4 separate regions of the Mus musculus genome follow, and all the other regions are reported to be linked to region 4. The links are microRNA targets in miRTarBase. Many come from high-throughput screens and were not tested one by one. Region 4 holds a microRNA gene; each other region holds the end of a gene's coding sequence.

What was found. Region 4 holds the annotated microRNA mmu-miR-139-5p (UCUACAGUGCACGUGUCUCCAG, at 809-830, opposite strand). A microRNA usually pairs through its seed, bases 2 to 8, with sites in the 3' UTR of a target mRNA and lowers its output. Matches are read on the target gene's strand: a 7mer-m8 pairs with bases 2 to 8, a 7mer-A1 pairs with bases 2 to 7 and ends in A, and an 8mer does both.
Region 1: the mRNA of Zfp11 is a reported target of mmu-miR-139-5p. Seed matches in the 3' UTR shown: 7mer-m8 at 834-840, 7mer-m8 at 976-982 and 7mer-A1 at 1,313-1,319.
Region 2: miRTarBase lists Pfkl as a target of mmu-miR-139-5p. Seed matches in the 3' UTR shown: 7mer-m8 at 845-851.
Region 3: miRTarBase lists Stx17 as a target of mmu-miR-139-5p. Seed matches in the 3' UTR shown: 7mer-A1 at 979-985.

What each region holds. Positions count from the first base shown.
Region 1 is chr5:129,653,775-129,656,930 of GRCm38, reverse strand. Zfp11 (zinc finger protein 11) reads left to right here. Exons shown (of 3, transcript NM_172462.4): 3 at 1-2,336. The coding sequence ends at 479. Among named protein-coding and RNA genes, the nearest start is that of Zfp11, 15 kb to the left of the region's middle.
Region 2 is chr10:77,985,488-77,988,643 of GRCm38, reverse strand. Pfkl (phosphofructokinase, liver, B-type) reads left to right here. Exons shown (of 22, transcript NM_008826.5): 22 at 287-1,697. The coding sequence ends at 434. Among named protein-coding and RNA genes, the nearest start is that of Gm51807, 2.6 kb to the right of the region's middle.
Region 3 is chr4:48,181,238-48,184,393 of GRCm38, reverse strand. Stx17 (syntaxin 17) reads right to left here. Exons shown (of 8, transcript NM_026343.2): 8 at 1-2,895. The coding sequence ends at 2,656. Among named protein-coding and RNA genes, the nearest start is that of Mir1958, 30 kb to the left of the region's middle.
Region 4 is chr7:101,473,212-101,476,211 of GRCm38, reverse strand. It overlaps Mir139 (microRNA 139), which reads right to left and starts at 836; the gene lies at 769-836. The region is part of intron 1 of Pde2a (phosphodiesterase 2A, cGMP-stimulated); the gene reads right to left.

The sequences.
Region 1 (3,156 bases), not on the chromosome of region 4:
CTTCCTATCTCTCTAAACATCAGAGGATTCACATTGGAGACAGACTCTATAAATGTAAAGAGTGTGGCAAAGCCTACTACTTCTCCTCACAGCTGAACCGACATCAGAGGATCCATACCGGGGAGAAACCCTATGTGTGCCAGGAGTGTGGCAAGGCCTTCAATTGTTCTTCATACCTTACTAAGCACCAGCGCATCCATATTGTAGAAAAACCGTATGTGTGTAAAGAGTGCAGCAAAGCCTTTAGCTGCTCCTCATACCTGACTAAACACCAGAGGATCCATGCTGGAGACAGGCTATACAAATGCACAGAGTGTGGCAAAGCCTACTGCTTCTCCTCACAGCTGAACCGACATCAGAGGATCCACACCAGAGAGAGACCCTATAGATGTAAGGAATGTGGCAAGGCCTTTATTACTTCCTCCTGCCTTAAACGACACCAGGAAACTCACACTCTCCAGACACCAAACAGTGTATAGAATTTGTGTATATGTGTATGTGTATAATAAGCAAAGCCTTACTAGGAAGACAGTTGTTACCGAGTGTTTCATAAAAGGGAAAAAACCCTGTTCTTGCACTTAGTGTCTTTAACAACTGCTGAACCTTCCATTTGCACCAAAAAGGCCCATCTATGAGGGGAGACGATACAGGTGTAAGGAGTCTGGCAAGACCTTTAAGTCGTGTGTGGTACTGTTTCAGAGTGTGTACTGAACATCCCATAGTTGAAAACTGTTACAGATGTGAGAACATGGCCTGGCCTTTGATCACAGCTTTTCTTTTTTCTTTTTTTTTTTTAAGATTTATTTATTTATTTATTCTGTGTATGTGAGTACACTGTAGCTGTACAGATGGTTGTGAGCCTTCATGTGGTTGTTGGGAATTGAATTTAGGACTTCTGCTCGCTCTGGTTGGCCCTGCTCCCTCGGTCTCTGCTCGCTCTGGCCCAAAGGTTTATTTATTATTATACATAAGTACACTGTAGCTGTCTTCAGACACACCACAAGAGGGCATCAGATCTCATTACAGGTGATTGTGAGCCACCATGTGGTTGCTGGGATTTGAACACAGGACCTTCGGAAGAACAGTCAGTGCTCTTATCCCCTGAGCCATCTCAACAGCCCGATCACTGCTCTTCTTTATTGGACAGTAGCAAATTCATATTGGGAAGAGTATTGTCCTATGTCTAACCCTCAGAACAGTCCAACACTATACTACAAATTCCCTCATAAAATGAAAAGATTGACATTTCACTAATACCTCAACAAATCTTTTTATTACAGACAGGATCTCTGTAATAGCCCTAGAACTCACTCTGTAGACCAGGCTAGCCTCAGACTCACAGAGATCTGCCTGCCTCTGTGTCCAGAGCACTGGGACTAAAGACATGCACCCCCAGGCCCAGCCCATACCTCAAAACTTGGTGTATACAAAAAATTATCGTTGGGCAGAAATCTTACAAATATGTAGAATGTGGCAAAATTTTGAACTGCTGCTTATCATTAATAAATGGGTGGAAAGACTATATCACAGGTGTCAGAGTGATTTGAACTCATCTTTGAAAGGATGGAATTTGTTTTACATCCAAATTTACTAAGTAACCTCACTTTAAAAACTATACAAAGCTCAGCCCTCAGGCCATCTCAGCAGAAAAATAATCCTGCTTTCTGAGAAGTTTTAAACCGTTCTTTTTCTAGAGAGCATAGAATTGATTTTGAAGAACTGTGTATTATGTATAGACTTTATTTTAGTACATACATGGAGTGAATGGTTCTTCACTTGTTATCTCTGGTATGTGTTGTTTGACATGTTATTTTGTCACAGAGATCAAACCGCCTTACCGTAGCATGTACATACAGATCTTAGTAATATATTGTTGAGAAATACTGAGTGATTGGTAGTTCTTGTTCCCAATGTCTTTATCCCTCAAACAGATGTATAGATTTGGAGATTTTTTTTGTGTATGTGATATTTTAATCCACCCTTTTTGCACTTAACCCAGAAATTACAAAGGATGTGAAAGTATAATAAAGTGTTCTAGCTTTCTGAAGCTCAAGTCATTTATACATTTGGTTTTTTGTCACATGGTTTTTATGCACACATCACCCCTTTGGATATATACAATGAACACCGAATTGTTGGTATTCGTTTGTGTTGACTGTGACGTAAAATCCCATGGCAAACCTTAGGAGTGAAAGTACAAAAGTTCTCTCTGCTCGTGGGTAATGATTAAAAATTAAAGGAAAGTTAAAAACCAAAAATCACTTTAAGGGAGCTGATATTTATGGCGAGGTAGAAAGCTTTTGTTTGGGGGAATAAAGTCTATTTTGTCTAAATGGAACACATTGAAACAGCCTCATGGTTCTTTGTTTAGCATAGTGACTTCCTGGTTCTCTGTCTGTTAACCAGGAAGGGCATATGTAAGAGTTAAAGTTTATGGCTGTGTTTATGTGGCTATTTGTTGATCATGGTTGTCCTCTGAGCCAATCAACTGCAAACTCCAGTAGTTGAGCTTGCAAAGCGTCAGCCCAACTGGGTTTGTTGGCTGACCATCCATAGGAGGAGTGTGGGGAAGGTCATGGGACCCTCATCTGAGTTTACAGTACTCCATTCTGCTTCTTATATGGAGTTTTGCCCTAATTGCATACAGCCTAGAGGAGGGGATACGTCATAGGTCAGAACGATGACTGGGAGGAGGGACTTCATCTGTGTTGCTGTGGGAAAGCCATTATACTTTCTGCCTAAAAACTTTCTGGTGCAACCTTTTGTAGCGGGAAACACCCACACTATAAGTAACCCCTTACCTATGTTCCATAAGGAAGACCACTACTGTTTCCTCTAGAGTGAACTTGGGTGGACTCATACCTTTGATAGTCGTTGGGACTTTATGAGAAGGGATATCCAACCACCAGAAGGAATGTTAGTAGCTGGCAGAATATAAAAAGACCAGGGATGCTTTTGGGAAGAACAGTGGTGGTGTGCCTGATAGGGGCAACAAGACAACCAGAGTGAAGTTGTGTGTGTGTGTGTGTGTGTGTGTGTGTGTGTGTGTGTGTGTGTGTGTGTGAGAAATTGACATAGTGGCTTGCCTCTACAGGTCGTGGGGTATAGTGGCGGGACATGAAGAGTGCAGAGGGTAGTGAGACATGTAACTAAGGG
Region 2 (3,156 bases), not on the chromosome of region 4:
AGGACCCTGGGAGGCCCAGAACTTTCCAGGACAGGGCCCCTAGCAGGCTTTGAAGAACAGGAGTCTTGTCCATGCGTTCAATGGCCAGCACAGGGTGGTCTGGGGAGGGTTTGTGACTCTTGCATCTGAGTCTACCTCAGAAGTACTTCCCCTCACTCCCAGCCAGAGGAATGGGGCACCCAGATGTACCCTGTATACCCTGGTCATGATGGCGACTAGGTATTCGGGGTTTAAGGGATCTCGGGATTCAGTTCTGTAACTAACTATCCAACCTTGACCTGCGCAGGCACCGCATGCCCCGGGAGCAGTGGTGGCTGAATCTGCGGCTGATGCTGAAGATGCTGGCACACTACCGCATCAGCATGGCAGACTATGTGTCTGGGGAGCTGGAGCACGTCACACGCCGCACCTTGAGCATAGACAAGGGTTTCTGAGCTTACTGTCACTACTGTTCCTGCGTTCCCGGACTCTCACCCTCCCAGTGCTAGCCACAGATCCCAGCACCGAGGGGAACTCAAGGGGAACTCGGAGCCCGTGGCTGGCTGAGGGATGTGGGGGTCTACTGTGCTGCTCTGGGGCTCTTCCCTTAGCCCTCCCCCCACCCCCAGGACAGAGAGCCTGTGGGGCCCCTACCTTCCAGTCAGACCCACATTGCCTCTCCCTCACTGGCCAGCTGGCTGCCTCACCACACGGCTGAAAAGAGCCTCACTTTTTTAGAAATAAAGTCACCTGTCTAGAGCATGGTCACTGGGACAACATGACCAGAGGAGTCCAGGGAGAGGGTTGTCAGGACTCAGGTGCAAACCTTACCCAAGGCTATAGTTTGTTTAATTTATATAAGTACACTGTAGCTGTCTTCAGACACACCATTAGAGGTCATCAGATCCCATTGCAGACCGTTGTGAGCCACCATGTGGTTGCTGGGATTTGAACTCAGGACCTCTGGAAGGGCAGTTGGTGATCTTAACCGCTGAGCCATCTCTCCAGTCCTGCCCACAGCTATTCTACAAGACTGGAATTTAGGGAACCCTCCCGGGAAGAGACTAGGGAGACCTGAGCCCTTAGAGAGCTACTGAGGCTCGTGTGAGCCCCATACCTGCCCTGGAATGGCTGGGGTATCGGCCTGTGGGCAATGTGCCCCGGTCTGGAGAGGAGACTGTCATTGTCAGTATAGTGTTCTTGGCTGATTGCTGCCCTTCAGGAGGTTCTTGAGGTCGGGACGTTGGCTCCTCAGAGAAGTTTATGAAGGGCTGAGCCCTGGCCAGCCCCACCTCAGATCCCTCTCTAAGCCCCTTATCAGGGTTTCTTACGTGAGCTGCTGCTGGGTCCATCCTCTACAGTGCCTGGATTTTTACAATATTTACAATAGGTGGAGGCTGTTTCTGGTTTCTCCGTGTATGGAGGTCAAGGGTTGTGACTTTGGCTCTGTGGACCTGCAGGCCGCATTGGGGCGGTGGTTTCCTTGGGTAGACGTCTCCCCCCATGGGTCACTGTAAGGCTTCTGTGGGGGTATTGCAGGCCATGTACCCAGCTGCTTCATCTGGCTGGAGCCCCCAAAGCTGCTGGGAGCAGAGTCCTGGAGTGTAAGTGTCATATCACAGCACCCTGGAGGGTTTGGTCTTGAGCACATGGCAACAAGGCCTGTATATTAGGGCTCTAGAGAAACAGAACCAATAGAATGTATATATACTGTAAAAGTGGGTTCGCCAGACTGGCTTACACAAATGGGCTTGGTAGCCTAATTGTCTTAGGGTTTTATTGCTGTGAATAGACGCCATGGCCACAGCAGCTCTTATAAAGGAGAACATTTCATTGGGGCTGACTTACAGTTTCAGAGGTTTAGCCCATTACCATCATGGTGGGAAGCATGGCGGCATGCAGGCAGATGTGGTGCTGGAGAGGTAGCTGACGGTTCTCCATCTGGATCTGCAGGCGCAGGAAAAGACAGTGAGCCACTAGGCCTGGCTCCTGAAACCTCAAAGCCCACCCCACAGTAGCAAGCTTCCTCCAACAAGGCCACACTTCCCAATAGTGTCACTCCCTATGGGCCTGTGAGGGCCATCTTTATCCAGACTTCACCAATAACAGCCATCTGCTGGCTGGGGAGGCTGAGAGCCCTGGAGCTGCTAAATTCACAGCAGCTCCATTCTAGTGCTGAGGGCCTGGAGGATCTTCACGCCACACTGGAAAGTCAGAGTTTGTGTCTGATGTCAGCAGAGGGTGGTAACAGCAGCAAGAAGGGCTGGCAGGCAGCACTGCCTTTTACTTGGAGCACCCAATATCTGGGCTGCCTGCTAGCGGAGGCAGTCCCTGGAGAGGGCCTTCCCCCTTTACTAAGCCTTCCTGGAATAGCCTCGTAGGCTACCGTAAGGCCTCTTAATAATTCTCCAGGTTAATTGACAGGCTCAGGTCTCTCAGGACTGCTGGGAGACACCTGTGCTTGTTCCAGAGTCACCATCAATGTCCATACCTGTTAGTGTGTTCTCCCTCCACCCCCAAAGCAGCGCAGGGCCTGGGGACATGGCAGGCTATAGTTGGACATCTGAAGATTAGAGCAGCACCTACCCAGCCGCTTGCTCAGTCTGGGCGTCTGCTACACAGGGGGTTCTGCAATGGGGAGGCATGAAGGGTGGGCCTGTGTGGCTCATTTTGTTCATGGCCAGGTGGAGTCGGGTCATTGTCATCAGCGTGGACTCAACTCTCAGTATGGAACCCCTGCTAGATTCAGGGTCTACCTGCTTGGCTGCAAGGTGGCTTTGGGCCCTGGTGATAGCAATGGCTTCAGGTACAGAGTAGCCATCTCTTTCCTCTCTTCTCTTGCACCACATCCACCCTTCCAGGGGGTTACACCTCCAGCCTTAGCTCTCCCCGCTGTGAGTTGGATGGGAGGGCACCAAACCCTTGAAAGGCCAATTCCTGTTCTGCTCAAGGGGCTGGATCTGGAAGATTCCAGATGTGGCTGAATGTCCCACGCTCGGCTCCAGGTAGGGATATGAGCTGTGCTTTAGCAGAGGCTGGGAGTGGGGATCAGGGATTGGGGGCTCGGTGCAGCTGGTAGTCTGCCCATCCCTGGGGTATATGTGAGTGTGCCACAGGAGGATGGAAAGCTAGGACGTTACAGGCATGGGGTGTGGTCCTGAGGGAACCTGCTGGGCA
Region 3 (3,156 bases), not on the chromosome of region 4:
TTTTCTGAAAACTGAGGGTGGTAATCCATTTGTAGACTGAGACTGGTTTTGTGGGTTGAAGTTAGCATGTTGAAGAAACAGAACATCAGAATGTACTGCACACAATGGTAAACATTTTTCATGGATACACGTTCAATCCTAATACGTTTTTTACTGTGGGCTACATCAAAATTTCAGAGGAATTATCAGATTATAACATCAAAAAGTCTTTAGGGGGACTGCCTATACTAATATGAAGTCTCTACAAATTTTAAGACATTAAAATGATTCTTTTTAACTAGTTGAAATAAAAATAAGACATAAATCATAGAGATGATAAATTTAACTAGACACTATGGGGCATATTAAATTCAATTTTAAGATCATTTCTGTGTCATATTGACTAATTTATACGTTTAAGTACTTTTATATCATTTATAGTTGATTAAACACTTCTAAGAAATTTCCACAAAAAGTTGGCTATTGGATTCTATTGTGGAGAAATGAAAAACAATTTCTCAATAACTTTAAAGTATAATGAAATTTTAAAGAGGACTGTAACTTCCTTAACCATTACGGTGGCTAGAGTCAAAAGCCCAATACTGATGGTTCATTAACATGCCGATGGTTCCCACATTCCCACACTGGCTCAGCGAAGATGCGCGGTCCCAAGGGTGCGAGCTTCATATCCAAGCCTCAGCCCTGTTTCTTTGGCTTCCATGTGCTGAGGCTGTTATGGCACTTACTGATGGCACTTTGGGGATTCATGGAATTGAGTATTAAGTAATGAGGAAGATGAAGTAGACCATGGGAGACTAAAGAATTAAACAACACTTCTTATCCTCACAATACTAGCTAATCAGGATGGACTGGCTGTATCGGAATTTCCCCGGGGCCAAAGTTCAAGAATCTTGTTTTAGCTGGGTATGGCAACACACCTTTAATCCCAGCACTCCGGAGGCAGAGACAGATGGATCTCTGAGTTCAAGGCCAGCCTGGTCTACAGAGAGAGTTCCAGGACAGCTAGGTCAGGACTATACAGAGAAAACATCTTGAAAAATAAAACAAAACAAAAAGGAATCTTATTTGAAGTAAAATCTGGATGCATTCTGAATGCCCCCTGCTCAGGTTTGACATGCTATCTTAAAGGAGCAGCAAGAACCAGAGAACAAAGGATGACAATAAAAGTAATTACTTAATGCCCAGTGTGTTTGGCAATATTTCAGGATCCGAAAATTATTCAAATTTTGTTTGTTATTAAAGTCTTAAGACAGCGGATAAGAAATAAATACTCAATACTTTCCGATCTTTTAATACGGTGTAGTTCTTTGTTTCATAGGGATGCACTGGTAAGACTCACAAAGCATTGAAGGGAAGGAAGGAAGTTATAACACAGAGGGAAAGGTAGCAACCCACAGAGGCCAAACATCAACTCAGCACTTAAAAGAAGCTAAGAGGTAACCCTTCGGCCCCTGACCCTGTGCTCTGGCTGCTGGTGCACTCTTCTCAGGAAGAGATGAGAGTTGCGGGACCAGTGGCTTCTTCCTATTCCTTTCTTCTGAATCTCAAACCTTTCTGTTTTGAGAGAGACACGGAGTTGAAGTGGACATGCCTGCTGTGCATGCCAACTGTTGGGTTAGCACCACAGATCTTTCCTTGGGTCTGAATCATGAGTTTTCCCATCTAGAATGTGAGAGAGGTTAAGCGTGACCACTGCGAGGACAGCGGCAGGAGGGGAGACGGCCTGGGAAAGGGCAGCAGTGACAGATGTGAGGTAGAAAGCTCCTTCTTGGACGCCCAAGAAGACTGAGGGGCGGCAATCCCTGGAGGCAGCAGGTATGCCAGCCCCTTCTAAAGTGCCCTGTGATATGATCTTGTACTCACTCCCCTTAACCTAAATAACGTTGGAAATATTTAAATTTTCTTTTTTCAACTAAAGAGATTGTAGAGATTACAGGTAGGGGTAGCTAGAAGTGGAAAACTATATAAAAAGGCAGATTATGAGGAAAATCCTTATAACATGGGTAGGAATCAGAAGAGTAGAATAGACAGTTATCTGAATCACCAGCTGGAAATGGGCTTGGTGGCTGGTTTAGTAGGTCTAGCATTGAGGTTTTGTGCTCCTTATCTGGAGAGGCAGGAAAGACTTCAGAAAAAACACCCATGTCACAATGAAGAAACTGTAAAGAGAAAATGGGCTTCTCTTTCTATTTTATAGTGTTAATTTCCTTCCCCAGAAAATACAGATGGGTCTAAGTACAACAGCCCTCAAGTCCACAAGTAGTTCACCCGTGCCCCCTGTTGAGCGGCAACATCCCTACCTGACAGAGACTCCTGAACTCGAATTCTGTTCCTCCCTATAGGAAGAAATAATTGACAAATACACTGACCTCAGGTGTCCACTACATGTCTACACTTCTTAGATCCTTAGTTATGGATCCAGTTTTCACATTTCCAGGCCTAACCTTTGCTCTTTGGCAGTCTTTAAACTTGACCTGACAGACACCCTCTGGCCAGGCTCCTCCACCTCTAAAATCTCCATTAACACCCAGCTAACAAACACATCCACTCATGGTGGTTCAACACTGCATGGACAGGGAGAGCCACTTCCTAACACTTCCAGCAACAGCAACTGCTCCTTAGCTCGGTGCACAGCAGCAGCTGGAAGCTTGGGCTTTAACTGCGTTTTTTGTCACTTTGGCTAGGGAGATCTGGACAGCTGGAAGTGAGCTTCTCCATCATTTTCTGTTTCCTTCTTTGTATCAATTTTCCACCTGTGAAGCCTAACACCCCACCACCAAGTGCAGCTGCAATTCCTGCCACTTTGAAGCCTGCGAGGAGGCCGATGGGACCCCCTACCACTCCTCCGATGAGTGCACCTGCCACAGGCAGAGCTGCCAGCTTGTATTTTGCAGCCTGTAAAAAAAAAAAAAGATTCAATTTAGAAATTGAGTTGAGAAAAATCTGCCTGTGGTGATGTGCGTTTTCCTCTCATTACTCCTGGCAATGCCTCTTTAACTCTACGTTCATAATTAACCTCAGAGATTATTCTTGGAGGGGTGTGTGTGTGAATGTATTCCACAGGTACTGCCATTGCTCCAGACCACAGACCTGAAGGAGGCAGGAGGTGTGCTCCAGATTGGACTATACAAAATGATTTTACATGCAAACTACTCA
Region 4 (3,000 bases):
GTTTCTAACAGACCTGTCACCTGAAAATATTACAAGAGCTGCTTGTGTGTGCTAACACTTGCATCCACGACTTCCCAGTAGCAAGGCTGAGCTGGGCCAGAAGCAAAAGGAAAGGAAAGAGACTAGGTGATGTTGGGCAACCCAGATGCCAAGTGAGCCACCTCATAAGCCCTGAGTGACTCTGGCTATGGGGAAGGGAAGGTACCTTTCTCAGGTACTGATTGTGGTTGCAGATGTCCCTCAGTGGTTTCCAAAGTACGGCATGGCCCAGAGTCACCTGGAGGACTGTTGAAATACACAGTGCTGTCCCCACCCCAGAATTTCTGCATCAGCTGGTCTGGGAAGAGGTTGATGAATTTGCACTACCAACTCCCCAATTTCTAGCTGCTGCTGGCCTGAGACGTGCCTTTCACTCACCCCACTTTAGAGGCACAGGGGTGTAAAGACCGGGATGTAGGGAAGGTAGATCCTTTCTCCAGTGAGGGTAGCCATGGGGACAGCTGGATGCTACCCCCACATGAAGAGACTCCACAAGAAAGATCCCCAAGGAGAGGAGGCATAAGGGTGAGAAAGGAGAAAAGGAGCTGTGGCCATCGTTGAGTTGGTGACACAGGGGCACGTGGAAGGAGCCACCTGCAGCTCAAGAGCCAAGTACTACAGGAAGGGGCCCCCTTGTCCTCCTTTTCTCTCTCCCCCACCCCCTTTCTTTTGCCCACCATGCCCTCTTCCCCCTTAGCCCACCACCCTTCGAAGACTCTGGCTTCAGTTGTTACTCCAACAGGGCCGCGTCTCCAGCCTCCGAGCCACACTGGAGACACGTGCACTGTAGAATACACCTGCGCCTGTCCTGGCGCCTCCCAGGGGAACCTCCACTCCCTGAGGGGGACCCTTGGGACAACTGTTGGCTTCTCTCATCCCTTACCATAGCTGGTCCCCCCCTGGACCTCCCACTCCTCCCCAACCAGGCTGAACTTCTACCCCAGGCACTCCCACTGTACTGACCCCTTTAAAGCCATCCAGGGCCAAGTGTGGTGATAGAGAGTGGGAAGGAGGAGAAGCAGCCAGGTGGGAAGGCAGGGGTTGTTAGTCCTCTCAGACTGACAGTCTACTCTCCAGTCTAGAAGGGAAAGATTAGGGAAATGGAAAGAGGAGGGAGACAAGAGCCCAGTATCGGGAGGAGGTGATGGCCCTGGCCTGGAAGCTTTAAGATGAGTTGAGTTGGGTCAGACTTTGACTTCTCCTCACCCTACCCATCTTCAGTTGCCTCCTCCACACAGTAGGACCACTCTGTCCCCATAGCCCTCAGGTTTCTAACCAGTAAGGCCCAGCTCCCATACATGTCACCATAGTCTCCTCACAATTCCCGTCATCTTGGTTTCCTGTGGTCTCTAACCTTCCTGCCTCTGTGACCATGAGAGTTGAATTGAATACAGTGGGACAGTCACTGGGGACTGTGGTGAGTATCTGTGACTCAGAGCTGTGTCTGGGGAGATGTTTTGGCATCAAGGAAGCTTGGGTACACTGTTCCCCAGGGTGTACAAGAAAGAAGAGACTCTGGGAATCAATACCCCGAGAAAGGGTCTCGGTGAACTGGCTGGCCTCCTGCTCCGGTTTCTATGAGCCTGAATGTCTACGACCCCACCTCTCATGTGGCCTTGGAGATAGGACCAGAGCTTGACCCAGCAAGCCTAGAAGCCTCTGCAAGTCAGACATAATGGTCCACTCAGGAGAAAGGAATGTCGAGTGACTAGCTGGACCAGTGTCAGGAAGGGAAGTATGCCAAAGGAAAAGATATGGTCAGACAAGAGTGGGTGGGTGAGAGAGCCAGTGATGGTCTGCTCACTCGGACCCTCACAACTTGATGGATGCTCCTTCCCGGTGCTGTGTGTCATCACCTTGCCACACTGCCCTCTCTGGCTCCCCCATCAGGCCAGGAGCTTTTGGGGGAAAGGACAGCATCCTGATTGTCCCATAGCTCTTCTGCTCTTAGCATCATCTAGTCTCCAATGAGAGCCCAGAAATGGTGGAGGCCAGCGACCTCCTGAGCAGAGAAGTGGAGTTCCTGGAGGTCCCAGGTGGGGAGACAATGGCGGTCTCTGTATCCCAAGTCTGGCGTGATGAGAGACGTAGACAAACAGCCCACGGAATGAGAGGATGCTTTTCCCTGAGAACTTTTGACAGCATTTTCAAGGTATCTGGCAAGCCAGGAGACCTTCTGCTCTTCAGGATCATCTCCAAGTGGGAAAAGCCTAGGGTCCCAGGAAGAGCAGGTGAGCAGCACCTCTTATTCAAGGACGTCATCTACATGGGGAACACCTGTCTCCACCCCAGTCCTCCTGGGAATTCCTATGAGACCAACGTCTTTAGACCTCAGGTGTCATGACATTGGATGCCCAGTTTGGTATGGGGTGTATGGAAGGTCAGAGGAGACAAAAAAAAAAAAAAATAGCCAGGTTCTCCCCTAAAGGCATGGGGCGAGGCCCTCTCTCCTGTGGCTTTGGACTTCTCAAGTCCTGCTTTGGCCAAGGGATAGACTTGTCATCTCTCCAATGTTGGAATGGGACTGGGTGTCTCTCTCTAGGCCTGGGTGGAGCCTCTTGTCTCCCGCTCTTCCATTGTCCCCTTCCCTCCTGTGCCCACAATAGATAATAAATGCTAAATGGCACTGACTTGACACAGGGCGATGTATGGCTTACAGAAGGGCAGGAAGGGAGGGCTGACCAGGGGTGCTGGGCAGAGAACTAAGTGTCCCATGGTACCTGCCTGGTGGTTGGTCCTGAGTGTCCCCAGCCCTCCCAGTACCTCCCCAGGGACCTCTGTGTCTGCTTGTCTTGGTGTGTCTCTTTGGTGTATGTCGATTCCACAGCCTCATGTTGCTTCCTCCTCTGACTGTATTTGGCTCCATCCTCACAACTTGGCTCGTCCCAACTGTTCCCCAAATCCCAGGAGAATGGGAGTATGAGACATACAGGGACAGAGACCAATTCAGAAACAAGGAAA